Linked DNA regions of Mus musculus. The protein of the gene in region 2 interacts with the protein of the main gene of each other region in a biochemical or structural test. Links are inferred from orthologs where the notes say so. Each region holds a gene or a part of one and is shown on either strand. Other genes may lie near its edges.

What was found.
Region 1: the proteins of Erbb3 (region 2) and Rasa1 form a complex in vitro, tested with the Homo sapiens proteins (2 studies listed by BioGRID and IntAct, with this or other methods). The link is inferred for Mus musculus from reciprocal best matches to the Homo sapiens genes ERBB3 and RASA1.
Region 3: the proteins of Erbb3 (region 2) and Ptk6 form a complex in vitro, tested with the Homo sapiens proteins (2 studies listed by BioGRID and IntAct, with this or other methods). The link is inferred for Mus musculus from reciprocal best matches to the Homo sapiens genes ERBB3 and PTK6.
Region 4: the proteins of Erbb3 (region 2) and Tns2 form a complex in vitro, tested with the Homo sapiens proteins (2 studies listed by BioGRID and IntAct, with this or other methods). The link is inferred for Mus musculus from reciprocal best matches to the Homo sapiens genes ERBB3 and TNS2.
Region 5: the proteins of Erbb3 (region 2) and Shc3 form a complex in vitro, tested with the Homo sapiens proteins (2 studies listed by BioGRID and IntAct, with this or other methods). The link is inferred for Mus musculus from reciprocal best matches to the Homo sapiens genes ERBB3 and SHC3.
Region 6: the proteins of Erbb3 (region 2) and Src form a complex in vitro, tested with the Homo sapiens proteins (2 studies listed by BioGRID and IntAct, with this or other methods). The link is inferred for Mus musculus from reciprocal best matches to the Homo sapiens genes ERBB3 and SRC.
Region 7: the proteins of Erbb3 (region 2) and Syk form a complex in vitro, tested with the Homo sapiens proteins (2 studies listed by BioGRID and IntAct, with this or other methods). The link is inferred for Mus musculus from reciprocal best matches to the Homo sapiens genes ERBB3 and SYK.

What each region holds. Positions count from the first base shown.
Region 1 is NC_000079.6:85,223,487-85,226,986, reverse strand, and holds part of Rasa1 (ras GTPase-activating protein 1), read left to right. Parts: coding exon 1-35; intron 36-293; coding exon 294-453; intron 454-1,362; coding exon 1,363-1,505; intron 1,506-2,668; coding exon 2,669-2,784; intron 2,785-3,442; coding exon 3,443-3,500. UniProt on the Homo sapiens protein: Inhibitory regulator of the Ras-cyclic AMP pathway. Stimulates the GTPase of normal but not oncogenic Ras p21; this stimulation may be further increased in the presence of NCK1.
Region 2 is NC_000076.6:128,567,023-128,569,829, forward strand, and holds the end of Erbb3 (receptor tyrosine-protein kinase erbB-3 precursor), read right to left. Parts: coding exon 2,346-2,807; 3' UTR 501-2,345; downstream 1-500. UniProt on the Homo sapiens protein: Tyrosine-protein kinase that plays an essential role as cell surface receptor for neuregulins.
Region 3 is NC_000068.7:181,197,207-181,199,789, reverse strand, and holds part of Ptk6 (protein-tyrosine kinase 6), read left to right. Parts: intron 1-27; coding exon 28-191; intron 192-559; coding exon 560-713; intron 714-1,248; coding exon 1,249-1,410; intron 1,411-2,583. UniProt on the Homo sapiens protein: Non-receptor tyrosine-protein kinase implicated in the regulation of a variety of signaling pathways that control the differentiation and maintenance of normal epithelia, as well as tumor growth.
Region 4 is NC_000081.6:102,101,510-102,105,733, forward strand, and holds the start of Tns2 (tensin-2), read left to right. Parts: upstream 1-1,424; 5' UTR 1,425-1,577; coding exon 1,578-1,652; intron 1,653-3,020; coding exon 3,021-3,129; intron 3,130-3,829; coding exon 3,830-3,867; intron 3,868-4,224. UniProt on the Homo sapiens protein: Tyrosine-protein phosphatase which regulates cell motility, proliferation and muscle-response to insulin. Phosphatase activity is mediated by binding to phosphatidylinositol-3,4,5-triphosphate (PtdIns(3,4,5)P3) via the SH2 domain.
Region 5 is NC_000079.6:51,566,652-51,570,629, reverse strand, and holds the start of Shc3 (SHC-transforming protein 3), read left to right. Parts: upstream 1-1,178; 5' UTR 1,179-3,185; coding exon 3,186-3,659; intron 3,660-3,978. UniProt on the Homo sapiens protein: Signaling adapter that couples activated growth factor receptors to signaling pathway in neurons. Involved in the signal transduction pathways of neurotrophin-activated Trk receptors in cortical neurons.
Region 6 is NC_000068.7:157,469,293-157,472,338, reverse strand, and holds the end of Src (neuronal proto-oncogene tyrosine-protein kinase Src), read right to left. Parts: intron 2,950-3,046; coding exon 2,818-2,949; intron 2,587-2,817; coding exon 2,378-2,586; 3' UTR 501-2,377; downstream 1-500. UniProt on the Homo sapiens protein: Non-receptor protein tyrosine kinase which is activated following engagement of many different classes of cellular receptors including immune response receptors, integrins and other adhesion receptors, receptor protein tyrosine kinases, G protein-coupled receptors as well as cytokine receptors.
Region 7 is NC_000079.6:52,634,882-52,638,381, reverse strand, and holds part of Syk (tyrosine-protein kinase SYK), read right to left. Parts: intron 345-3,500; coding exon 135-344; intron 1-134. UniProt on the Homo sapiens protein: Non-receptor tyrosine kinase which mediates signal transduction downstream of a variety of transmembrane receptors including classical immunoreceptors like the B-cell receptor (BCR).

The DNA.
Region 1 (3,500 bases), on a different chromosome or scaffold from region 2:
TCATGCCAGAAGAAGAGTACAGTGAATTTAAAGAGGTATTGTTTACTAGTTTAATCGTTTTTAATGATACTAAACAGAAATATTTACTATTTAATAAAACTCCATTAAGTTAAATAGTAACACCCTATATTAATGGCAGAGAAGAAGCCAGATGTAAAAAACACATACTGTGATTTTGATCTTAATGAGACTAGGAATATAAAGTCAATTTTTAACAATTGTATTCAGTAGATATGTTTTTTCAATTGGTCTTGTTGTGTACTTTCAGCAGTCTTTACTTATGTCACTTTTAGCTTATACTGCAAAAGGAACTTCATGTCGTCTATGCTTTATCACATGTATGTGGACAAGACCGAACACTACTGGCCAGCATCCTACTAAAGATATTTCTTCATGAAAAGCTTGAATCATTGTTGTTATGCACACTAAATGACAGAGAGATAAGTATGGAAGGTAATATATGTGTGATCAACAGTGGTGTAATATTTATCATATTACCTGAGTTTGTACTTAGTAACTCATGAGTAGAAGTCATAAAATACTAGTGTATTTTATTTCTACATTCTATATCAGTTCCAAGGCCACTGTAACATATTACTATGTTTTTCACAGATTCCTAATCTATTTTCTCCCAGCACTTTGATTTGGTGACAATCCTTGCCTTCTTTAACCATAAAAATTACAAAAATTAATTTGTCAAGGAGTAGATAAAATGGTACATATTTTTTTTTATATCTGGTGACATTTGTATAAGAAAGCATTTAATTGGGGCCTTGCTTGCAGTTTCAGAGATTTAATATTTTATCATTATGGCAGTATTAAGCTTGGTAGCATGTAGGCAAACACTGTAGCAGTAGCCAAGAGCTATATCCTGATCTGTAGGCACAGAGAGAGACTCTAGGCTTAGTAGATGGGCTTTGAAACCTCAAGCCGATCTCTAGTGACAACACTTCCTCCATAAGGGCAAACTTCCTAACCCTTCTAATCTTCAAATAGTGTCACTCCTGGTAAATAAGCATTCAAATATTTGAGCCTATGAGGACCATTCTTACTCAAAATACCACAGAGATGAAGTAATTTATTTTTGGTTATGAAATCAGTAGAAAGTTTGTGTTTATCACAAACTGGTGTTCAACACACTGGAGAACTATTTTGAATCTTTTCATATGAACATGATGGTGTTTTTTTCTTCTCACTTATGATAGTCATGATTTAATTCACTCTGAGATCAGGTGATTTAATGCATGTTAACCCCAACATATGTATGTAAAAAGCACATTACTAAAGAAAATTAATTTAATTTTCAGAGTAGTTATATTAGTACAGTTCTGTAAATACAATGAAACATCCATTTTTGTGTAGATGAAGCCACTACCCTATTTCGAGCTACAACACTTGCAAGTACCTTGATGGAGCAGTATATGAAAGCTACTGCCACACAGTTTGTTCATCATGCTTTGAAAGACTCCATTTTAAAGATTATGGAAAGCAAGCAATCATGTGAGGTAAGAATTTATAGTTTTATTCTTTGCAGCAAATAGCATATTTTAATGAGAACTTTAAAAAATGACATCTTTAGGAAAGTACATCATTTCTGAGATGTATCAGTACAATCGTGTTCTCTAGTATATTTATAATCCACCTCTCCTTGAGCACATACAAAGCTCTTTGAGCATTTCTTTTATTATATTAATGACCAAACATACTTTGCCTTGAGAGAATGTGTATAACGTTAATTGAACACTTTTCTAGAGACTTTTGTACGTGTTGAGTATCTGTTATTGGAAAAAAAGAAGTATTTTAAAACATTTGGATGATTTCATATATACAATAAAGTATCCTGGGAATGGAACCTAAGTCTATGACTGAAGTTAATTTTACATGAATTCTTGGAGGCTTGTGTTATGGTTTGCACATCATGTGAAGTTGGATATGGAATTTCCCACATGGATAATGCCATGTCAGCAACCAAAGTCAAACTTCAAGAGGGCTTACCTTGAGTAATATGTTGTAACATCTTCTCTCTAGAGGGATTTCTGGGTTATTTTATAGAAGATGGGGATTAAAAGAAGATGAAATAATCTTTTAAAGATGATTAAGGTTGCACTGTGAGTTTATAGGCAGCCCATACCATTGAGTAGAATCACTCGTACATGACTGTTCTACTTCATGAATGCTACAGAGCAATTTCAAAGAAAGACAGTATACATTTTTAGGCTTGATATAGTGTCAATAAAATAACGAAATACTTTTCAACACTTGGAGCTGTAAAATGTTAATTGTGCCACAACAAAATGAGTGACTTAAGTTGAGGGTAATCCCACAATTACCCTTACTATGAAAGCTGACATAGCTTTCATATTTGTAGATAAATCTAGCAGACCAGAACACTTGGATGGTGGGGAGGAGGGGTGTACTTGAAGGGTCATGATTTTACTTAATATATTTTGATTATTTTCCTTAGCCACTAAGTTGTACCTCATTAAAAACAGCTTTTCTTCTTATATAAACAGAACTGAGTAGTTAAATATTAGTTGAGAAACTAATTTTAGCAAACTTACTGCATTTGTATATGTGGAACAGGTAACAGCTTTGAAAACGACTACTCACTTATCACAATTTACTTGAAATTCAATCATCACAAAAAATAAATTTGTATTTCTCTTAGTTAAGTCCGTCAAAGTTAGAAAAAAATGAAGATGTGAACACTAATTTAGCACACCTATTGAGCATACTTTCAGAGCTTGTGGAGAAAATATTCATGGCTTCAGAAATACTTCCACCGTAAGTTGCCAAATTTTTGTTTTGTCTTTTAATGAATGATTTTTATTATCTTGGCATTATACTCAGACTTTTAGTCCTTAAAAGATGGATTATATTTAAGGGAAAGAGAGTAAAAGAATGAGTAAAATAACTGTTAAAGAAGCTAGATAAAATCACAGGCATTGTGGCACATGTCTGTAATCCCAGTATTGGAGAGGTTGGGTCAAGAAGAGCATAGGCCAGCCTAAAAACATGTATTTACAAATTAGATTGTATGTTTTTGTGGACCAAGTAAGTCTGGCTTATATTTTAGCTTAGGGAGTGATTGAAATGTCTCAAATCTGGGGACAGTATCTGGAAATTTAGTGGTTATTTCTTGCCTCGCATTAGATTTCCTGCAAACAAAAAAAGAAGTTTAAATCTATTCTCATTTCTAATAACTTGTTTCATACTTTTCATTAACACAGAATTTACAATGCATTGAGCTAAGCATACTGGATTATGTTTCTATATCCATCACTGAATGTTTTTCTCATTACTTTTGACAAAACCTTTTTTAGATGAGAAACCCAAATGCATTAAAATATGGTATACAGTTTGGGTAAATTAAAATTTTAGTTGCAACTAGATTATGATGATGCTTACTTTCTGTATTGAGACATTTATGTTATTTTGGCAGGACACTGAGATATATCTATGGGTGTTTACAGAAATCAGTTCAGCATAAGTGGCCTACA
Region 2 (2,807 bases):
CTAGAAATGCAAAGCCGGGCACTGGTGGTGCACGCCTTTAATCCCAGCATTTGAGAGGCAGAAGTAGTCGGATTTCTGAGTTCGAGGCCAGCCCGGTCTACAGAGTGAGTTCCAGGACAGCCAGGGCTACACAGAGAAACCCTGTCTCGAAAAAACAAACAAAAGAAAAAGACTAGAATGCAAACAGGGTCTGGAGAAATAACCTGGTTGGTATAACCTGGTATCCTTGCAGAGGGAAGGGAGTTCCCAGAACATTACAGTCACCTGTAACTCTTAGCACTGTGTAGTTGGCCTCTGTGGGCATTGCACTCACGTGCACATAACACCATTCCCAAACTCCCACTCTCTCACATACCCATAATTAAAATCTTAGAACAAATCAAGATTGGTTACATTACTTGTGACAGAATGTCAGAAGCAGAGAAAGCCACCCATTGTTAAGAAGCAAAGAAAAGGGATGGTCATGTGTACTTTCCACTTGACAGGAATCCACAAAAACAAACAAAAAAACTCTGACATTTTTATTTAGACACGTATAAAAACAAAACAAAAAAACTTTAATGGTACAAGAAGACATTCCCCCCAGTTCCCATCCAGGAAGACTTGAGGTTTGAAGATGGATCCTCTTTCTATCCCACCAGAAGTTTATCACTACTGGTTGAGAACAGCTCCCAAAATAGGAGTCTTGGAACCTTTGCGAATTGGCTTGTAATGAGTGTGTATCTGCAACGTAAATGGCCTGCAGCTTACACAAAAATGTCTAGTTACTTGTCCTGTGTCATCTCCACTCCTTCCTGAGATGAGAGGCCTGGGTGCTGGAGGAAAACGTGGCTGGCTGCATTTGCTTGATTCAGTGCACCAACAAACGGAGTCTGGAAGCTCACACATGTAGCCACAGCCTTTGAGAGGTGAAGATGGGATTGCTGTGTGTGGAGTTGAAGGCCATCCTGGGCTACACAGTTGCAGGCCAGTCGCCAGGCCCGGCTTTACACACACACACATACACTTTATAGTTAAATCACAGGCATGGGAATTGGGAGGATTTTGAATCCTGGACCTGTGGCTTTGCTTCTTCAAGGCTCAATTCCCCATTTTCTGAGGTTTTGCTGTCCACAGTTTTAGTAACCTGTGGTCAACTGTCATCTGAAACATGCTGAGTGACAAGTTCCTGAAATAAATAATCCTTACAGTTTACATAGTACCCATTCTGAATAGCACGATGAAATCACAGCCGGCCTCTCCTGTTCCACTTGGTAGATGAATCATCTCTGCCTGGTACACCCGCACTGAATAACCTATTTGCTCTTGAGCCACTTAATTACCTGCCTGGTTATTAGATTGACTGACAGATCTCATAGTACTTGTGCTCAAAGACCCTCATCTTACCTAAGAATGGGCCCAAAGGGCAAGTCCTGCTATTAATTCAAATGTGTCAAAGAAATGGTTTTTTGTTTGAGAAAAGGTGGAAATTCTTGACTTCACGGGGGGGGGGGTTGTAATGTCTATAATAACAAATCCATTAAATTAGAAAAATAGAAAAATCAGTACAACCTCTGCTGTGTCACCTCAAACTAAAAAGAACAATAAGTTCTTAGTTAAGATGGAAAAGTCACTAATCACAGAATTCAGTTTTGTTTACTGAATATTAAAAAAATATTAAAAATATTAAAAGAAAAAAAAAACCCTACAGGATTCAGTACTATTCAAAGATTCCGGGACCTGTTGGCTATCTTGGAACACTCAGATTCCATATTGGTGAAACAGGATCAGTTCTACCTCACAAAACTGGAAAGATTATAACTGAGACAATGTAGGTGGGGTTCAGTATGAGGATGCCTGGCTCACAGTGCATGTTCAGTTCGTAGTCACTGGTACCTACTCCTAACTTCACTCCTCAAAGCTTTGAGCTTCTCAATCTTCCTCTGGGATTAAAAGTCTCATAAACAAAAGTCTTACTTTTTCTCTTCTCTTTCATCTCCCCTTCTTTAGAGTCTGATTGGGGAAGAAAGGCAAAGTTTAAGAGTCTAATCCCAATGAGTAAGAGCCTGAGAGAAAGGGTCTGGAGAGTAATCCTTCATATCTCCAGGGAGTCTCCCTGAGGAACGGGATCAGGAAGGGAGAGACACAGGGAAACTTCTCTTTCCTAGGCTTGGGAAGAGAAGAGAGTGCACAGCCGGCTATGTACCGCAAAAAGTTTGTGACGATATGTTGACAAATCTCCAAGAACTAGATGGCATTCTTGGAGAAATGGAGGTGGGACCTCAGAGAAAGGGGTGAGGAAGGGTTACCCTCAAAGAGGCACTAGCTGCCATCAAATGTTCCCCAAGAGTCTCAAGGAACCGAGGTCAAATTCTCTGGGCGTTAGCCTTAGGGAAAAGCCTGCTATGCCAGTAATCGGGGTTGTCAAAGGCGGAGTCAGTGGCTTCTAAACTACGCAGAGTTTTGAGGCGGGCATAACGAACATGGGGGGCTTGATGTCCAGGCCCCTGGAAAGCTCGCATTTCCTCATACCCTTGTTCAGCTGCTGGGCAGGCCCCCATAGCTGCATAATCCCCTCCGGAACCGCCCGCACCACGCCTGCGGTTCATGTATTCATAGTCCTCATCTGGAGTCGTGCCAGCAGAGGGCACGATGGCCATGGGATGGAGTGGGCAACTCTGCGTACTGCCCAGAGAAGCACTGAGGTCTGAACCCACATCCATGTACTCATAGCCCAGCTCTTCCAGGGAACCAGGTCTGGGGGGCCGAGCCGGGCTACCCCTCCTCTTCCGGTTCATGTATTCATACTCCTCATCTTCATCTTCCTC
Region 3 (2,583 bases), on a different chromosome or scaffold from region 2:
TCTCCTTCCGCCGGCCACCCACCCCAGTCCGGGATGCTCAGGCCGTGCGACATTACAGGATCTGGAAGAACAACGAGGGCCGGCTGCACCTGAATGAGGCGGTATCCTTCTCCAATCTGTCTGAGCTTGTGGACTACCATAAGACCCAGAGCCTGTCTCATGGCCTACAGCTGTCCATGCCCTGCTGGAAGGTAGGCCACTGGCTCCTCTGTGACATAGTTGCCCAGGGTCCTACTGGTAGGGTATAATATGGGGGGGAGGGGATGGGGGCACAGGACAGGGCAATCTCCTTGGCTATTGCTCTTATTACACTGGCTCACCAGAGCTCAGATGTGCTCCTGCTGAGGACCAGTCCCTAACATTGATGGATGAAGACAGCAGCAATTTTATGAGGATATCCAGATACTGGATCTATCTCTAAATTTAAAAAAATAGATAATAAATAATAAATAATAAATAGAGCTCCTCATGAGGGGTTGGAGCAAGCCCTTCCTGAAGACAAGCTGGGCGACCCAGCCCCCATTCCTACCCATTCCTATTGCCCTTTCTGTCTCTCCAGCACAAAACTGAGCCCTTGCCCCACTGGGATGACTGGGAGAGGCCGAGGGAGGAGTTCACACTCTGTAAGAAGCTGGGGGCCGGCTACTTTGGGGAGGTCTTTGAAGCGCTCTGGAAAGGCCAGGTCCATGTGGCTGTGAAGGTGATCTCTAGAGGTGAGCAGGCCCAGGACTAACTCAACATGATCACGTGCTGCTTCCCCACTAGTCCTTCTAGTAGGCACTTCCAGTCTTCCCCCACTGAGGGTATCCCAACACACTTGCTGGGCACCCACAGCATCATGGTGGGAGTAACTTCTTTCAATTGTACCTGGTTTTGTTTTGTTTTGTTTTTTGTTTTTGTTTTTAAACAAGTCACTGGAAATGTGAGTTTCATCTCAAATCCCAACGTCACCCTCAGGTTTATACCTGAAACCTCAAGAATCAGGTCAGCCAGGACTTTGAAAACATCTGGCTGGGAAATGCTGACTTTGGCAATTGTGACCAAGTTGGGCACAGGAGGGCAAATGGACACATCAGTCTTGGGGCACTGAGGGCTCGGGGTGGGGAAGGCTTTAGTGTGGTAGCTTGGAGGCCAGCCTTTGTCTTCCTAGGCTGACCACATTGCCTGACTTGCTTCAGGAGGTCTGGGCCAGGATCCTGTTTGGGGCACAGGTCGAGGGCTATACTCACTGAGGTTGATGTCTCTCAGACAATCTCCTGCACCAGCACACCTTCCAGGCTGAGATTCAGGCCATGAAGAAGCTGCGGCACAAGCACATCCTGTCACTGTACGCTGTGGCGACTGCAGGGGACCCGGTCTACATCATCACGGAGCTCATGCCCAAGGGGAACCTGCTGCAGCTACTGCGTGGTACGTGCAAAGCTCCAGTCTCCTTTCCCGGGTGAAAGTGCTGGAGGCAGCATTTGGAGGCACAGACAGCCTGCTCTCTGAGCTTGAGGCCAGCCTGGTCTACAGAGCAAGCTCCAAGACAGCCAGGGCTACACAGAGAAACCCTGTCTCAAACCTTTCTCCTTTCCCTCCCCAAACCCCCCAAAACCAAAGATATAAAACAATCAAGGAAAGACATGCACATGTACACATGTATACATGTGCACACACCCTTAATAATGAGTACATGCATTACATCACACATGCTACATTGCCTCATACATACAAATCGTTAAAAAAAAAAAAAAAAAACCAATGGTGGGAGAGATGGCTCAGTGGGTGAAGTGCTTGCTAGGCAGGCACGAGGACCTGAGTCTGAGTCCCCAGAACTAGTTAGTGTAAAGGCAAGCACAGGAGTGGGCTTCTGTTACCTGAGTCTGAATCCTCAGAACTAGTTAGTGTAAAGGCAAGCACAGGAGCGGGCTTCTGTTACCCCTAGGCTTCTACGGTGAGATGGGAGGCAATGGGAGAATTCTTGTTTTATCTGGCTCAGTAGCAAACCACAAAACCATCCTGGAACACGTCACTGGTGAAGACTAACACCCGATGTTGTCCTCTGACTTCCACATACATACACACACACATCATACATACATACATAACAAAAGAGACAAGTAAATGGTCTTATTAAGTACAAAAAAAATCTACCAATTGCTGATCATAAAATTTGAAAAAGTACAGAAAAGAACTCTCCCTCACAATTTCTATCCTCACAGTTAGCTGAGGTTACTTTACTATAGGCTTGTGTAGCCTGCTAGTGACTTGCCTTAGCCCACCAGCTTCTCTCTAAATTCTAAATTCTCTCTCTTTCTTTGTGTTTCTCATAAAGAGCTTGATCTCATAAGCAGTTTCTGCAGGAAGAAGTCTCCAGAGATGAAACTCATGCCCCTTGTAGGTGTAGTACTTGCTGGCTGCGCATTATCTAGAGTGTTCAATGGCTACATACCAAGAATATCTTGCAGCAATGCTCTTGACCTTAGATTGCTTTATGATTCCCAGAAAGGGTGTCAGACAAAGAATATGCTCTTTGTCTCTAGGTACATAGCTGCAGAAGGTCTAGGCCTTCCCATTTTGCAATTAAGCCAAGCCAGCTGC
Region 4 (4,224 bases), on a different chromosome or scaffold from region 2:
ACCATAGGAGCAGAGGGGAAAAAAAATTGATCAGGGGAGGCGCTGCAGTGATCCATCTTCCCCAGCAGGGCTGGGTGCGGAATCAGGACAGCCCCGGTTGCCCACCTGGCCATCGGCCTGGAATGTCCTGGGACACAGCCAGAACTCAGGTGGGGATTGCAGAGCCAGGGGCCCTCTCCAGTTACAGCACGGTGCCCCACCCCTTGCCACTCACAGGGCCTTCTAGCCAGGGTACACTGGCAACGATGGGCTTCCTAGAGAACAGGCATGCAGCGGGAAGAGGCCTCAGACTCTTCAGTCTGACAGGTCTTCTGAAGGATCCCTGGGGAGGACTAGAGCAGCCCTTCATCTGTCAGATGGGCGTGAGGCAGAAAGAGGAGAGTCCTGTGGGACCCTGCAAGAGGTGCCAGAACTGGAGGAGTTGCACTGGGACATTCAGTAAATACCATGCAAATGAGGGTGACACGGTGTACATTCTTTCAAATGACAGCTAGCTACAGCATTCCAAAGGCTGCTGTCTAGAGCTTGGGCTGGGAACCCCCAGGCTGTTGACCCTTGTTGTAGGAAGGTTGTTCCATCCTTTCCAAGGGCCCCATACACCTCCTTCCCTTGACTCCTGGGACAGGAAGTTGGCCCTATTCCCAGGAGGGAAGCAGGAGGCCCTAGAGAGGGTGGAGTATGTGTTGGGAGGGGGCCTCCTGTCCAGTCCTCGGGTCCAGTGACAGCCACAGAGGAAGGAGAGACAGGCCAGAAGAGCCATGAAGGTAGCGCTCAGATTCTGGTGGGCGGGTGGGGTCCCCAGTAGAACCTCAGGTGCAGGATCTGGGAGCTAAGCCAGGAACTGTGGGTTGTATCTGGAGAGGAGCAGCTGGGGTGTTCAGGAGGAACCTCCAGTGCTTTGGGTTACAGCAAGATGGACCATTCCTGTAAGCCCTTAGCCCTTCCCGCTGGAACTTGGCGTTGAGGAGGGTACTATAAGATCCTTCTCCCGTCTGACAGGGAAGTTAGCCCTCATCCCTAACTTTCTTTCACCCTGAGGATGTGGAGTGCTGGGCTGTCAGGGGTACTGGTTCCCAGCAACACTCCCTTCCCACAGGAAATCCCAAGGGAGCATGAGGGTTCAGGCTAGAGACTGGCCGGGGACACAGTGTTCTCCACTGGCCCTTGAGCCCTGCCCTGAGACCTGAATTCCCACCCTGTGCCACTGGCTGATTCCAGGGCTGGATCTCAGGACTGCAGACCCCCTGCACACAGTGGCCCACTGGGTGGGAGGCAGCTCCAGAGATGGGGAGAGCCAGAGATCTTAGGCTGACACTCCCAGCAGGGTAGATCCTGGGAATCTGATCTCCTGGCCTCCCCCACATCCTCCCCCACCCCACTTCCTGGAGCAGCGACCTGCCCCCTTCCCGCCTGCACTTCCCTCCACTTCCAGGGCCAGGCTTCTCCACACACCAGCCAGACAGCCTCCCCTCCACCCAAGGGAAGCGGCTGCCTCGGCAGGCTGCTTCCAGGAAGCCCCAGGCCAGGCCCCAGCATTGTTCAGGCCCTGCAGCCAAGAGTCCAGCCAGCCAGACACCATGAAGTCCAGCGGCCCTGTGGAAAGGTTGCTCAGAGCCCTGGGGAGGAGGGACAGCAGCCGGGCCACCAGCAGGGTAGGAGTGCCCACCAGCTGGGCAAAGGTGGGGCAGGGTGGAGGTGCGGACAAGGCGGGAGGGCCAGGATTCAGGCCAGACCAGACCCTCTTCCTAGTTTCAGCCTCTTCTCCTGGCTGGCTCAGCATCCCCCTCCTCTTTCTTTCGCCTGACCCCCTGAGGTGGCTAGGGTAGGGTAGCAGTGTGATTCTAGCATCTGTTTTGACTTCTCTGTGTATTTCCTGGCTTGAGCCTGGATAGGCCCCGAGGGTTCAGCTAAGAGCTCAAGCCCTGACCTCCGGGGGAAGCTTGAGGGAAAAGGTATGGGAAGAAGGCAATGAGGGAAGGGAGGGTGCCTTCTACTGACGTCATCTGCACACGACGTCATCATCCACAAGTGCGTCCAAGTGTCCTGGTGGGTCTCGCCCCCAGTCGTTAAGGGACCAACGCTGCTCCCATGTTATTCTCCTCTTCACACTACGGTGGGCAGATCCAGGGAGAGGAGGGGACAGCGGGAGCTTGAACACACAGCGGTGAAGAATGTGCAGTGGAGTGGTGGGAGGAGTGAGGGAGATTGTCCACAGACTCTAGATAGGAGGGATGAACTGGGGTGGGAGGGGTCAGAACTGCAGTGAAAACTTGCAGTGAGTAGGGACTAAGGGGGACCTGGACAACTGGTGGCAGCCCAGCCAGCCACTGACCTCACTACCTCTGGGTGGGGAGGGGGCATCCGGAGAACCTGGCCACCCCTGTCATAACATGCAGAGGCAGCGAGGCAGCTGCCTGTGTGTCCCCACTGCTATTCCTCCTTCCGAGCGAACGTCTTAGACAATTGCTGCCTGCCGCCTCAGTGCACAGAGAGTAAACATGTTGTTCTGACCGTGGGGGAGGGGGTCATATTAGCTGCCTGGAGCTTGGGGACACTGAGAGCCAGGGGCTCAGAACTGGCTGCAGTCAGTCTGGGTATTATGTGATAGTGCTTGTGTGTCCTGGCCGTCAGCTCACAGTATACAAGCCTCTTGTGGGGAGGGCAAGATGGGAGGAGAGTCAGACCCCCCACTCTGCCAAGATTCAGAAAGCCCTCACATTGGAAGTGGGGGTGTGTGTGACAAGGACATCACATAGCTCCGCCACGTGAGAAGTCCTGAGTGAACCCTTAGGGAGGAGTTGACCCAGCCAAGGTGACGCAAGGGGTCACATTCCAAGCCCTGTAGAGGACAGGCCTCATGACTACCCTGAAACAGCTGTGGCCAAGTGTGCCTTAGAGTTCACAGACTTTTGGCTGGAAGAGAGGGAAGCAGCATCGCTCTAAGGAAAGGTCCCTGCCCAGCCTTGGAGATGAGCCCACTAGGAACACATACCCCTATTTGTCTGTCATCCCACCCGCAGCCGAGGAAAGCAGAACCACACAGCTTCCGGGAGAAGGTTTTCCGGAAGAAAACTCCAGTGTGTGCAGTGTGTAAGGTGACCATCGATGGGACCGGTGTCTCCTGCCGAGGTGAGGTGGTGCTCTTGGTGCCTGAGCCCTCCAGGCAGCACTTCTGTGTGGCTCAGGCTCTAGAGACAGGCAAATTCAGAAACAAATGCCCTCACTCTTCTTGACACCCACCTTGCCACAGCCCAGGAGATTTGTGACTCTACCACCTTCCCATCCTTACCTGTGACTAGGGTCTTCCCTTCCTCTTGCTCCTCCTCCTCTTCTTCTTCCTCCTCCTCTTTTTCTTCTTCCTCCTCTTCTTTTTCCTCCTTTTTCCTTTTCCTCCTCCTTTTCCTCTTCTTCCTCTTCCTCTTCCTTCTCTTTTTCCTCTTCTTCCTCCTCTTTTTCCTCTTCTTCCTCCTCCTCTTTTTCCTCTTCTGCCTCCTCCTCTTTTTCCTCTTCCTCCCCTTTCTCTTCCTCCTCATCTTCCTGTTCCTCTTCTTCTTCCTCATCCTTTTCTTCTTCCTCCTCTTCTTCCTCCTACTGTTCTTCCTCCTCTTCCTCTTTCCCCTCCTCACCTCTATTCATCCTAGACCCCAACCCCCGGCCCTCTTCCCTTACTCCAGAGCAGAACCTGTTGATAACCAGCTCTGTTCTTCAACTCCTAGTAACCTAGTGTACCAGGGTCCCAGAGCTGGCTTCTAAGGCCTGTGGGGCTGGAGCACAGTTATTTTGACTATTCCCGTAAGCCTCTGCTAACCTCTACCCTTTCTCTCTCTAGTCTGCAAGGTGGCCACACACAGAAAATGTGAAGCAAAGGTGAGTATGTGGTTCTATCTAATGGGGAGATGGTGTCTTTCCCTGTCCAGACAGGCATCTTCAGCCTCACTGGCATGGGCCACCATGTCACCCTGTCCCCTGTCACTCACTCCTGGACACCCCTTCCTGGGTGGCAGGGGTGTTGTGTTGGGCTCTTTAAGAAACACCCTACTCCACCCCTGGAGGGTTGGCCCAGGAGGGTGGACAGTGAGACAGCGTTTGTCTTGGTGCTGTGCCCAGGCTGCAGCTGGCGAGAGGATGAGGGGGGGTGGCTGCGGGGGGAGGAAGGGCGGGGTGGATAGAGAGGGAGCAAGATTTCAGAGACCAGGCACCCTGATGGGAGGTGCCTTCCCTCTG
Region 5 (3,978 bases), on a different chromosome or scaffold from region 2:
AGGATTGAATTCAGGTCCTCTTGCTTGCAAGATAAAGCATTTTACAGACTGGGCTATTGCTCCTCTACTCTGATGACCTAATCCCAGTCCTGTCCCAGAAGCCCCTCCCCTAAATGACACAGACTAAGCTTTCACCTTTTGAAAGAAAGGTGGCCAGGATTAGACTTCAACATAAGCATCCAGTGAACACGTGATAGTCACAGCATAGCGCAGACTTTGAACATGGCATCTAGAATTATCTATCCTCGTTCTCACTGGTGCCAGTTTGTTTCGAGTTGACAGCCCAGAGCTTGGGCTTTGGGGGATCATGCCTAAAATAAGCGACAGCCAGGCTCCCTAGGGCGAACAAAGGGCTCTCCTGGGACAGGCACGTGAGCAGAGTTCCCCTGCAGGGGCTGTGGAATTCCATCTGACGCATTTGGGCTCTTTAATTTATTTTCTTTTTTCCTGTACACCAAAATATTCGTATCACTTTCCAGCTAACAGCAGCTCTAGCTGTACTATATGATATTCTTGGTATATTAACGTCTAACACCAACGAGTCTAATTGTTGTATGTAAATTTACACCGCCATTCATATTTTCTCAGTCGGCTCCCTCCGTTGGCCTCATAATAGAATCCAAAGTCTCCTTGTTGGCTAAAGGGTTAAATGATGTAGCTTTGGGATCCCCTCCGCTGCTCTGGAGACTTAGCTTGCATAGGTCTTCTTTATTCCTTTATTAGGAAAGACTTCATGGGGAAGAGGCTAGCCTTTGACTGGGTCTTCTGTGTGCATTCATAATAAAAGCTGGTACATTCATGGCTGCTCTGTGAGGTAGAAGAACCAGTGAATGAAAGTTTGGGTACAGCTCACCTCCCAGAGAGTGGTCCTGCTTCACCCGGAACTGACCCGATAGTCTCCAACACCCTTATAAAACTAATTTTCCCCATCTCTCTATACCGGCTTGTTTCTTCCTCCCAGAATTTTTGTAATCAATCTGGGTGGTGTTATTTTTTTTTTTTTCTTTCTCTTTTTTTTTCCCACACTGCTGTTGGATAAAAGATCCCGCCCTTGATTGAAATGGAATCTTCCACTATTGAGCGAGCCTTTGTTGAATGAGTCATCGGCTCAGCCTCTCATTGGCTGAAGCCGCCTGAGCCCAGGGGATTGCCTGGCACCGGCTGCAAGGACCCGCTCCATTCACAGAAACGCTGGCTCGCTCGCCGGCCCTTTCATTCACACAAACAGCATCTCATTCACATTCGGTCTGTTTTTTTTTTTTTTCCTTTTTCTTTTTTTCTTTTTGTCTGCTTCTAATGAAGAAGACCACGGTTTGGGAATGGTGGGGCTGACTTGCTTCAGATTGGAGGGGGACTCCAATCACCATCGAAATCGTCCGTGGGGTGCGCATCTGCTGTTGCTATGCGAGCTAGAGGAAGGGAGAAAAGAGAGTGCGGGGTGGCTGTTCAGCTAGGGCTGCCGCGCGGTTGGAGAGCGGTGGGGACGTGTTTGCTGCGCCAGGGCGGGCCTGGCGGCTCTGCGCTTTTTCGTCCTCTGGAACCGGCCTCACTTGCACGGCCGCCACGGGTGGCTCTCCCTAAACTCCCTTCCTGGGGCTCCCAGAAAGCCTGGGAACCGCACTGCCTCCCGAGATCAGCCCTGGGCGTGAGAAGACTCAGGGTGACCTGCTAGTGTGCTAGAAGGCAAATGCATTCGCTTGCACAGAAGTTACCAGGAAACTTTGACAGCGATTGACTTCTCGGTGGTGCAGGTTATCTGTCTTAACACATGAGGCCACCTGGTAGAGGCCACCGAGGAAGGGCTCAGTGGGTCTCAGAATCTTGGTCAGACCCTCGGGGAGGCTGTCGATGTCCTATTCTCCCAAGCGTCAGGAAGAAGGCCTGTGCGTGTCACTGCAAGCCTGGGCCCGACTCGCAAGGAAGAGGCCATTCTTGCTGTGGATTTGATGGACAGTTAGAGCAGCCGCATTTTTTTTCCTGCCTGACTGCAGGGCTGCAAGCAGCAACTGAAGGGACATTGAAACGGATTGGTAATGCTACTAAGGCATGCTTCCAGGGCTGAAACACATTCACTTGGAATAAAACTCAAAACGCGGCCCTCTTTCTCTCTCTCTCTCTTTTTTTGGCATGGATTTCTGGAGCCTGTTGCCGCTCAGCAGAGATGCAGGTTTTTTTTTGAAGTAGATTTTTCAACTGAACCCTAGCTGAGTACGGCTGCTGACTGCTGTAAATTATTAGGGAAGACCCCCTCTGAGCTGTACTGAGAAGAAATTTCTGTGCTGATTTTTTTTTTTTTTCGTGAATTGGTACAGGAATTGCACCGCCACAGATACATGGCTGCTCTGCTGATCTGAACAAGAAAAGCAAACCACAGGAAACTGACAGGTTTTTTTCTTTCTTTCTTAAATATTCATCTGCTGGTGAAGGGTCCCCCCTCTTTTTTTTTTTCCTACTTAAAATTCTTGCTACTTTCCAAAATCAGGATTCATCAGGATTCGCCTTGAAGACTTCTTTAAAAGCCTTCGTCACATTTGAACGCATCCCTGTCAGACACTTCTGGGCTTCATCCACATGAGCTGAGCAAGGGAAGAGCAAGCCATTGCACGGAATAATGGGTTGCGGAAAGTTCAAGAGATCATTTGACGGGACTGGATTTACCTTTGGCACAGATGCGGGATGGGGAGGGGGTAGGTGAAAAGGCAAAGACTGGAAGGAAATATCTGCGAAGGTAGAAAAAGGAAATTTGAGAACTGATTGGCTGTAGTTGCTGTCAGCGGGTGGATGTCGTTTTCTTCTCTCTCTTTTTGCTACAGGAAGTGATTTGCGGAGCTCACCGAGCCTTTGTTGAGAAGGGTCTCCTCAGAGTGAGTCACGCTTTTGCTGGGAGCAGCCCCGTGCAGCTGGCCGCTCGCTCCATCAGCCGCAACTATGACTTTTGCAAGGCAAGCGTTCCACCCCAACCCTCGGTCTCCAGGGCCCGCGCTGCGTGGCTGCTGCTCTGCTGCCTTGTAACGGTGAAAAGGGCTCGGTCGTCGGCCTCGGCTGTCCCTCTCCGGAAAGGCTGTCCTGGGACTCGGGCTCCTCGTCCCGCTCGGGGGACCGCGGCTCGTGTGCTATGCGCGGCAGTCCGCGCCAGGGCCGGCAGCAGCAGCGCCCGGGTGGATGCGGCGAGCCCACGGAGGGGCATGCTTCCACGCACCAAGTACAACCGCTTCAGGAATGACTCGGTGACATCGGTCGATGACCTTCTCCACAGCCTGTCGGTGAGCGGCAGCGGCGGCAAGGTCTCGGCGGAGCCCGCGGCGAGCCCCTACCTGGTGTCGGGCGAGGCGCTGCGCAAGGCGCCGGACGATGGGCCCGGCAGCCTGGGCCACCTGCTCCACAAGGTGTCCCACTTGAAACTCTCCAGCTCCGGCCTGCGTGGCCTGTCGTCGGCCGCCCGGGAGCGGGCAGGAGCGCGGCTCTCGGGCAGCTGCAGCGCGCCCAGCCTGGCGGCCCCGGACGGCGGCAGCGCGACCCCCGGGTCCCGCGCCCCGGCCGCCAGCATGAGTGCCACCAGGAAGAGCCGGGCCGGCGACGAGCCACTGCCCAGGCCCCCTCGGGGCGCGCCGCACACCAGCGATCAGGTGCTGGGGCCGGGAGTCACCTATGTGGTCAAGGTGGGTAACCCGAGCACACTGCTGGGTGGGGGTCTCGGAGACAGGGTGCGGTGGGGAGGAGGAAGTCAGGGCTGGGGACAGATGTCATTCTCTGAAGCCCCAGGGTTCAGGGACAAGCCCCAGGGAACACAGACGACAGTTGGATGTGAGGAAATAAGCCCTCCTTAGCCATTCTCTTGCTCGACAGGGCAAGGAGAGAATTAGAAATGCTCTGTGTGGGGGGGAAAGGGTGAACTGTCTGGTCACCTCGCATGGAGCCTGCTTTCCCCAAGGCACCGTTGTTGAAGCATGCTTTGGTCACCTGGCTTCATCAGATGTC
Region 6 (3,046 bases), on a different chromosome or scaffold from region 2:
AGTCGAACAAGCCCCGTCCCTGAATATGAAGCTGGAGATGTGTGAGAACTCTGGAGGAGAGACTGAGAGTGGGAAGGGAAAGTTAGAGAGAACACTGCATGGGGGTAGATAGGAACTCTCCACAAAGCACACACAGCTCACCTGGACCACCCCACCCCGCCTACACACGCACACACACACACACACACACACACACACACACACACACATACACACACCACAGCCTTGGAGATTACCCAGGAACACATTCCATGCATGCTAGGCAGTTCTGCTCCATCCTGCCAGGGTCCTGAATCTCACAAACATCCTTGCCCTGGACTCGGTGCCTCCTCCAGATCCTCAAGTAAGTGCGGACATGCCGCATCTGCCCCATCTGATCAGTTCCAGGCCCAGAAGCCACTAGCTGCAGGGGTCAAGGACCCTGACTGCCGGCTTCCCTCACATCCACGACTCTTCTTATTCCCACACACAGTCGATGTCCAATAAACTGCTGACCAAACTGAGGTCTGTTTGTGTTTAATCAGACAGTATGCAAAATATGTACAACAAGTCTGGGTCCCCCTCCCCCAAGCCTGGGCATGGAATGTGGGATCCCCAGGCCCTGCCCAGAGCTGGGGAGGGGTCCCCAAGGCCTCTGCATAGTCATCTGAAATCTACAAAACACTGTTAAAAAGAAAGAAAAAAAGAAAACCAGACAGTTGAGGCCACCTTACACAAAGGTCCTTGGGCAGCTGGAGTCGGGCAGGGAGAACCGGGTGGCAAGCTCAGGCTCGCCAGGAGCACGGGGAGAATATGGGAGTAAAGTGGAACTGTCAGGGCAGGCCCTGCTTGGCATCCTTCCCTGCAAACATGGCCTGGCTGGCTCGGGTCCCCAGTAGCGGGGACATTATTGCTGTGATGGGGCAATGGGTGAAATGGTCGTGTCTGGGATAGAGTAGGGATGTTCTTACACATTAAATATGGACACAAGGGAAGACACACAGGCACAGATATGTGTACACACACACAAACACACACACACAGGGGCCCTTGGTTGAGATGCCACAAATCATCAACTGCCCACCTTACAGACCCGGACACTGAGGCAGAGAGAAGCCACCACATAGCCTAAGGGCTGGTCAGAGGAGCCAGGGACCAGACAGTCAGATGTCTGCTGTTCCAGGACCCCCTTGGACGCCCAGCTGTGGATCTATCAATACGGGGGGGGGGGGGGGGGGTGGTTGGAACGGAGCAATGACAGAGGCCATAGTCACGGGCAGAGAGTACAGCTCAGAGAGGGCGGGGTCAGTGTTGGTACACAGCAGTAAGGACCCTCGCCTCCTTTCCCCCAGCTAAGGACCTCCCCTCCCTCCCTGAGTTAGGGAGTCCTGGCACGGGCAGGAGAGCAAGGGCCAGGTGTTGAAATGATCAGGACAAATGGAGGAGCAGGACTCCACACCCCTTAGCTCTTCCTCTTCTACTTGACTGTCTCTGCAGCCTGAGAGCTCCCTCCACCCCAGCCCACCCACACTGTGACAAACAGAAGCCTGTTCCACACCACCACTTTCTACCCCTCGCTCCTGGCTCAGCCTCCTGCTTGCCTCTTTCCCCGGGACAGACCCATGAGCATCAGGGGCAGCAGAACCCTGCCGACTTGAAGCCACTCTCAGGCCCCACCCTGCCCCCTGCCTTGGAGGACAGTTCTCGTTAGTTCCTGAGGAACAGAAGGAGCACCAGGTGCCAAGCCCACCTCAACCCTAAACTGCCCTTGGTCTTGGGCAGGTCACAACCCCTCCTGGATTCTGGTTTTTTCCAGCAGAGAAATGGGGGTGATGTGTCAGTGATCTCAAGGGTCCCTTGTGGAGGACGGGCTGAGGGGGTGCTCACTCTGACACTTATCCCAACTGGTGTTGGGCCTTGGGCTGCCTGAGAGCCACGGAAGAAGGTTCTAGACCCAGTGTTCCACCCAGAAGCCTCCAACAAGGATGGCCAGGGGCAGGAAGTACGTATAGCCAAGGCCTGGGCCTCATTCCTCTTTGGAAAGGCTCTCTGGCCGGCTTGAAACAGACCCAGGGTGAAGAAAGTGGGGCAGTGCCAGGTGAGCGCAGTGGGTCGAGGCTGGAAAACCACCCCCAGCTCTGCTGTCACAAGTGTCCTGTGAGAAGCAGGCTAACTCCAGAGAGAATGCACAGAGAGAGCCTGTGGCCATGGCAGGCATGGGACAGTCACTGTACCAGCCTCCACCTGTCCTTCCAGGCTGCCCCATCCCTGAAGCCCTTCCATGCTCCAAAAGGGGCATTGCCGAGGCAACGCAGCCCCAGAGAGAGGATGAAGGGAGGCAGGTGCATCGGAGGCAACACCCGGAAGCCTAGAGGTGACAGTTCTGCGCACACAGTCCCTATAGGTTCTCCCCGGGCTGGTACTGTGGCTCAGTGGACGTAAAGTAGTCTTCCAGGAAGGCCTGCAGGTACTCGAAGGTGGGCCGCTCCTCGGGCTCCTTCCGCCAGCACTGGCACATAAGGTCATGCAGGGACTCGGGGCACTCGGGGGGACAAGGCATCCGGTAGCCCCGCTCCACCTGGTCCAGAACCTCACGGTTCACCATCCCTATGAACAGAGAGGGCAATGAAGAGATGGCTCCAGAGAGACTGACACAGCCTAGACAGCCTTGACCCTATGGTGTACAGAACCCCGCTTCTGAGGCTGAGTCCTGACAAAAGGCAGCCTGTGATCAGAGATCAGCTTGGAAAGAGGAAGCCCAGGGGCGGCGTGTTGGTTGGGGGAGGGTGAGACTTGCCCCCAGGGCCAAGGTCAGGGACACAGGTATAGCCTCCTCACCAGGATAGGGCACTCTTCCCTTAGTGGTGAGCTCGGTCAGCAGAATCCCAAAGGACCACACATCCGACTTGATGGTGAACCTGCCGTACAGAGCAGCTTCAGGGGCGGTCCACTTGATGGGGAATTTGGCACCTACAAGCAAGAAAGCACAGGGTATCACTCACTACCAGTCTGCCGCAGGAGCATGACTCTCACTTCCACCTGACAGACGGATACCATCGGATAACCC
Region 7 (3,500 bases), on a different chromosome or scaffold from region 2:
TAGAAATCAGGCCCGGCACAGCCCAAACTCGGGGGACAGGGCGTGTGTGGGGGCGGGGCCCCGGCACAGCCCAAACTCGGGGGACAGGGCATGTGCGGGGTGGCACCGCACACAACTCGCATGCCCCAGGTCACCTGTTCTGCTGCAGGTACTTGTTGAGCGGCCCCAGCTCCGCCATCTCCATCACCAGCATCCAGGACTCCGCCTCGCAGATTCCGATCATGCGCACAATGTAGGGGTTGTCCAGCTGCTGCATGACGTTCGCCTCTGCCAGCAGCTCGTCCTTCAAAGCCGGGTCGTTGGCCTCGTTCTTCAGGATTTTCACAGCCACGGTTTTCACAACTCTGTGACACAGATTGTAACTTGTGAGAAACTTTCCAAACTGCCTAGAGGTCCTCTTCTCTGTAGTCACATTGTGTGTGTGTTGGGGGGAGGGGGGTGGAGGGGAATGGTGCTGACACCCGCTGCCCAATGAGAATCTCTTAAAGCCATTCAGAAAAACAAAACAAAGCAACCCAAAAACAAACAAACAAACAAACGAAAAAAAAAAAACAAACAAGAAACGGCCATGGGCTGGGGAGATAACCCAGTGTAAAAAGCGCATGCAAGAGTGAGGTTAAGAGTTCAGATCCCCAGAACCCACAGAAAGTTGGATAGCAGATGTCTGCAACCCCAGGGCTTCTAGGGGAGAATCTATGGAGATTCGTGGGGCCAGCAGTGAATCCCCAGAGGCGGTTTGAAACAAGGTGAAAGGTAAGAGGTGACATCCAAGGGTTGTCCCTTGGCCTCTATATATGTGCTGTGTCAGGAGTACCTGCACACACACACACACACACACACACACACACACACACACACATCAAGATAAATAGCTAGTACCATTTTTCTCCTTCTTGTGAAAATTTTATCACAGGTGCAAATTTTCCTTCTTTCTTTCTTTCTTTCTTTCTTTCTTTCTTTCTTTCTTTTGGGGTTTATTTGTTTGTTTGTTTGTTTGTTTGTTTTTGTTTTTTCGAGACAGGGTTTCTCTGTGTAGCCCTGGCTGTCCTGGAACTCACTCTGCAGACCAGGCTGGCTTCCAACTCAGAAATCCGCCTGCCTCTGCCTCCCAAGTGCTGAGATTAAAGGCGTGTGCCACAACTGCCCGGCAGGTGTAAATTTTCAAATCACACATAGCTGATGTTTATTCTTTCATTTAAACCACAGTTTGTTAGAATACTTTCAAGAGTTCAACACGATCTATGTGATATTTTTGTGAGAAATTGAAAAAGATCTGTATTTTCGAAACATGTTGAGGCTTGCTTAAAAGTAACAAAGCCCAGTGGGAGAGAAGTGTTTCTTTCCCTTTAACTCTGAGCTTGAACAACTCGTGTGCTTCAGACCGGCCATGGGGGTGCTCACCTGTGAGCCCCAGAGCCCCAGAGGTGGATACAGGAGGATCGTTGGTTTAAGATCATCTTTAACGTCCTCTGAATATAACACCTGCTCTTTCCATCTGATCAGCTATGCCTTTTGCAAGAGAGAAGAAAGACCAGCTTCAAATGCTGGTGCTCCTCCATATAAGGAAGGGGTGGAGATGCTCACTGGACTGTTACCCTGATTCCTGGAACTCCCCCCGGCGCTTCCCAGTCATCTGTGTGAGATCCTGTCCTAACTGAACATAGACGCACGGTCTTGGGAGGTGCTAGAGCATACGACTGTGAAAGCTAACAGGAGCCCGAGAGGGGGCATCTAGGGGACCCTACATCCTGTAGAGGCCACCATCCACACTGAGGCCCAGACTTCTCAGCGGCACACGCAGCTCCTGTGAGTAACCCCCACATGCGTGCCCAGTCACTGGTTCCCCAAATTGGACTTCGGGGATTGTTCTCTGGTTTGTGGTTGGTGCTCTGTATGATGGTAATGATTCCATACAGTACACAAGAGATTCTTTCTACAGCTGTTCTTTTACAGACAGAGGAACCATGCCCCACTGCCTGTGAACCCCGGTGTAGTGGACAGCAATGGAGAATGGTCCAGGCTGAGGAAAGCCCCGAATTGTGAAATATTCAACCAGCTTCAACAAAGTTCCCCTGTTGTGACACACATACAGCCTGCTGCAGTGTCATGTGGTTTCCCAGCTAGGTTCTGCCTACATGCATAAAGGAATACAAAGTTTCTTTATGATATTGCAAATGAGCCTCTGGGCCCAGAATTTAAAAAATAAAAATACATTGCTTTGCTTTTTTTTTTTCTTTGAGTCCGGGTCTTACATAATCCACTGTGGCTTGAAACTAGCTGTATAGTAGGAGATGACCTTAAACTTCTGATCCCCCTGTCTCTACCTCTGGGGCTCTGGGGGGCCACAGGTGTGTACACAACATGCCCAATCAGAAGCACACATTCTGTTCAAGCTCAGAGTTAAAGAGAAAGAAACACTTCTCTCCCACTGGGCTTGGTTACTTTTAAGCAAGCCTCAATGTGTTTCGAAAATATGGATTTTTTTTTATTCCCTCACAAAAACATCACATGGATCATGCTGAACTCTTGAAAGTATTCTAGCAAAATGTGGCTTAAAAGAAAGAACAAACATTAACTAGGTATGCTTTGAAAAATTACCTGTGGTAAAATTTCCACAAGCATGAGAAGTTGTTTCTTTTGTTGAACCTTCAAACCGATGAATCAAAACAGAACTATTCAGGAAATGGGCCGTGTGGGGGCTCAGGTGGTAAAGATACTCTCTGCCAAGCTTGGTGGCTGGAGCTTGATCCCCAAACCACATGCATGTACGTACACACACACACACACACACACACACACACACACCTAACAAATACACTAGGTCAAATAACAGAATTAGTGGGACACACACACACAGGAAAGTACACACAGCTAGTGTGGTGATCTAGAACACAGCCTGTGGCCTGACAGGAGGATTTAGATATTATCATCACCCTAGAAGCCTCTCTGGGCCCTCCCGGGAACATGGGAGGCTCCATTCTGTCATCTCTAGCCACCTATTTTGGCTTTCATAGTTGGGTCTATCATTACATCTGTGGTGTGAGGCAGGGATCTAAATTAAGAAGTTAGAAAAGGTTTCTTGATTCCTCTAGACATTTAAAAAAGAAAATACCACGTCTTCTAGAAAAGCAGAGGGGAAAGATAATATCCCACTAATTCTAAGAGGCTACTATTGTTCCAATTCCTGACTGTTTACGGTGGCCCAGGAAGAGACTATGAAACTCCTGGTCTTCCAAGCACTGAGCTCTTTTACAGGTAAGAGAGTAAGACTCCATTATGAGAATTGTAAGAAAGCAATTGACTGATAACTTCACGTGGTGGTTTAATGAGAAAAACCTCGGTAGGCTCATATATCCGAAGGCTGGGCCCCTAGTTTGGTAGAACTGTTTTGAGAATGTTTAGCAGGTGTGTCCTTGTTGGAAGAGATCTGTAACTGGGGGTGAGCTTTGAGGTTTCTTGCTCTCTGCCTCCAACTTGCAAATAAGATATACACTCAGCTA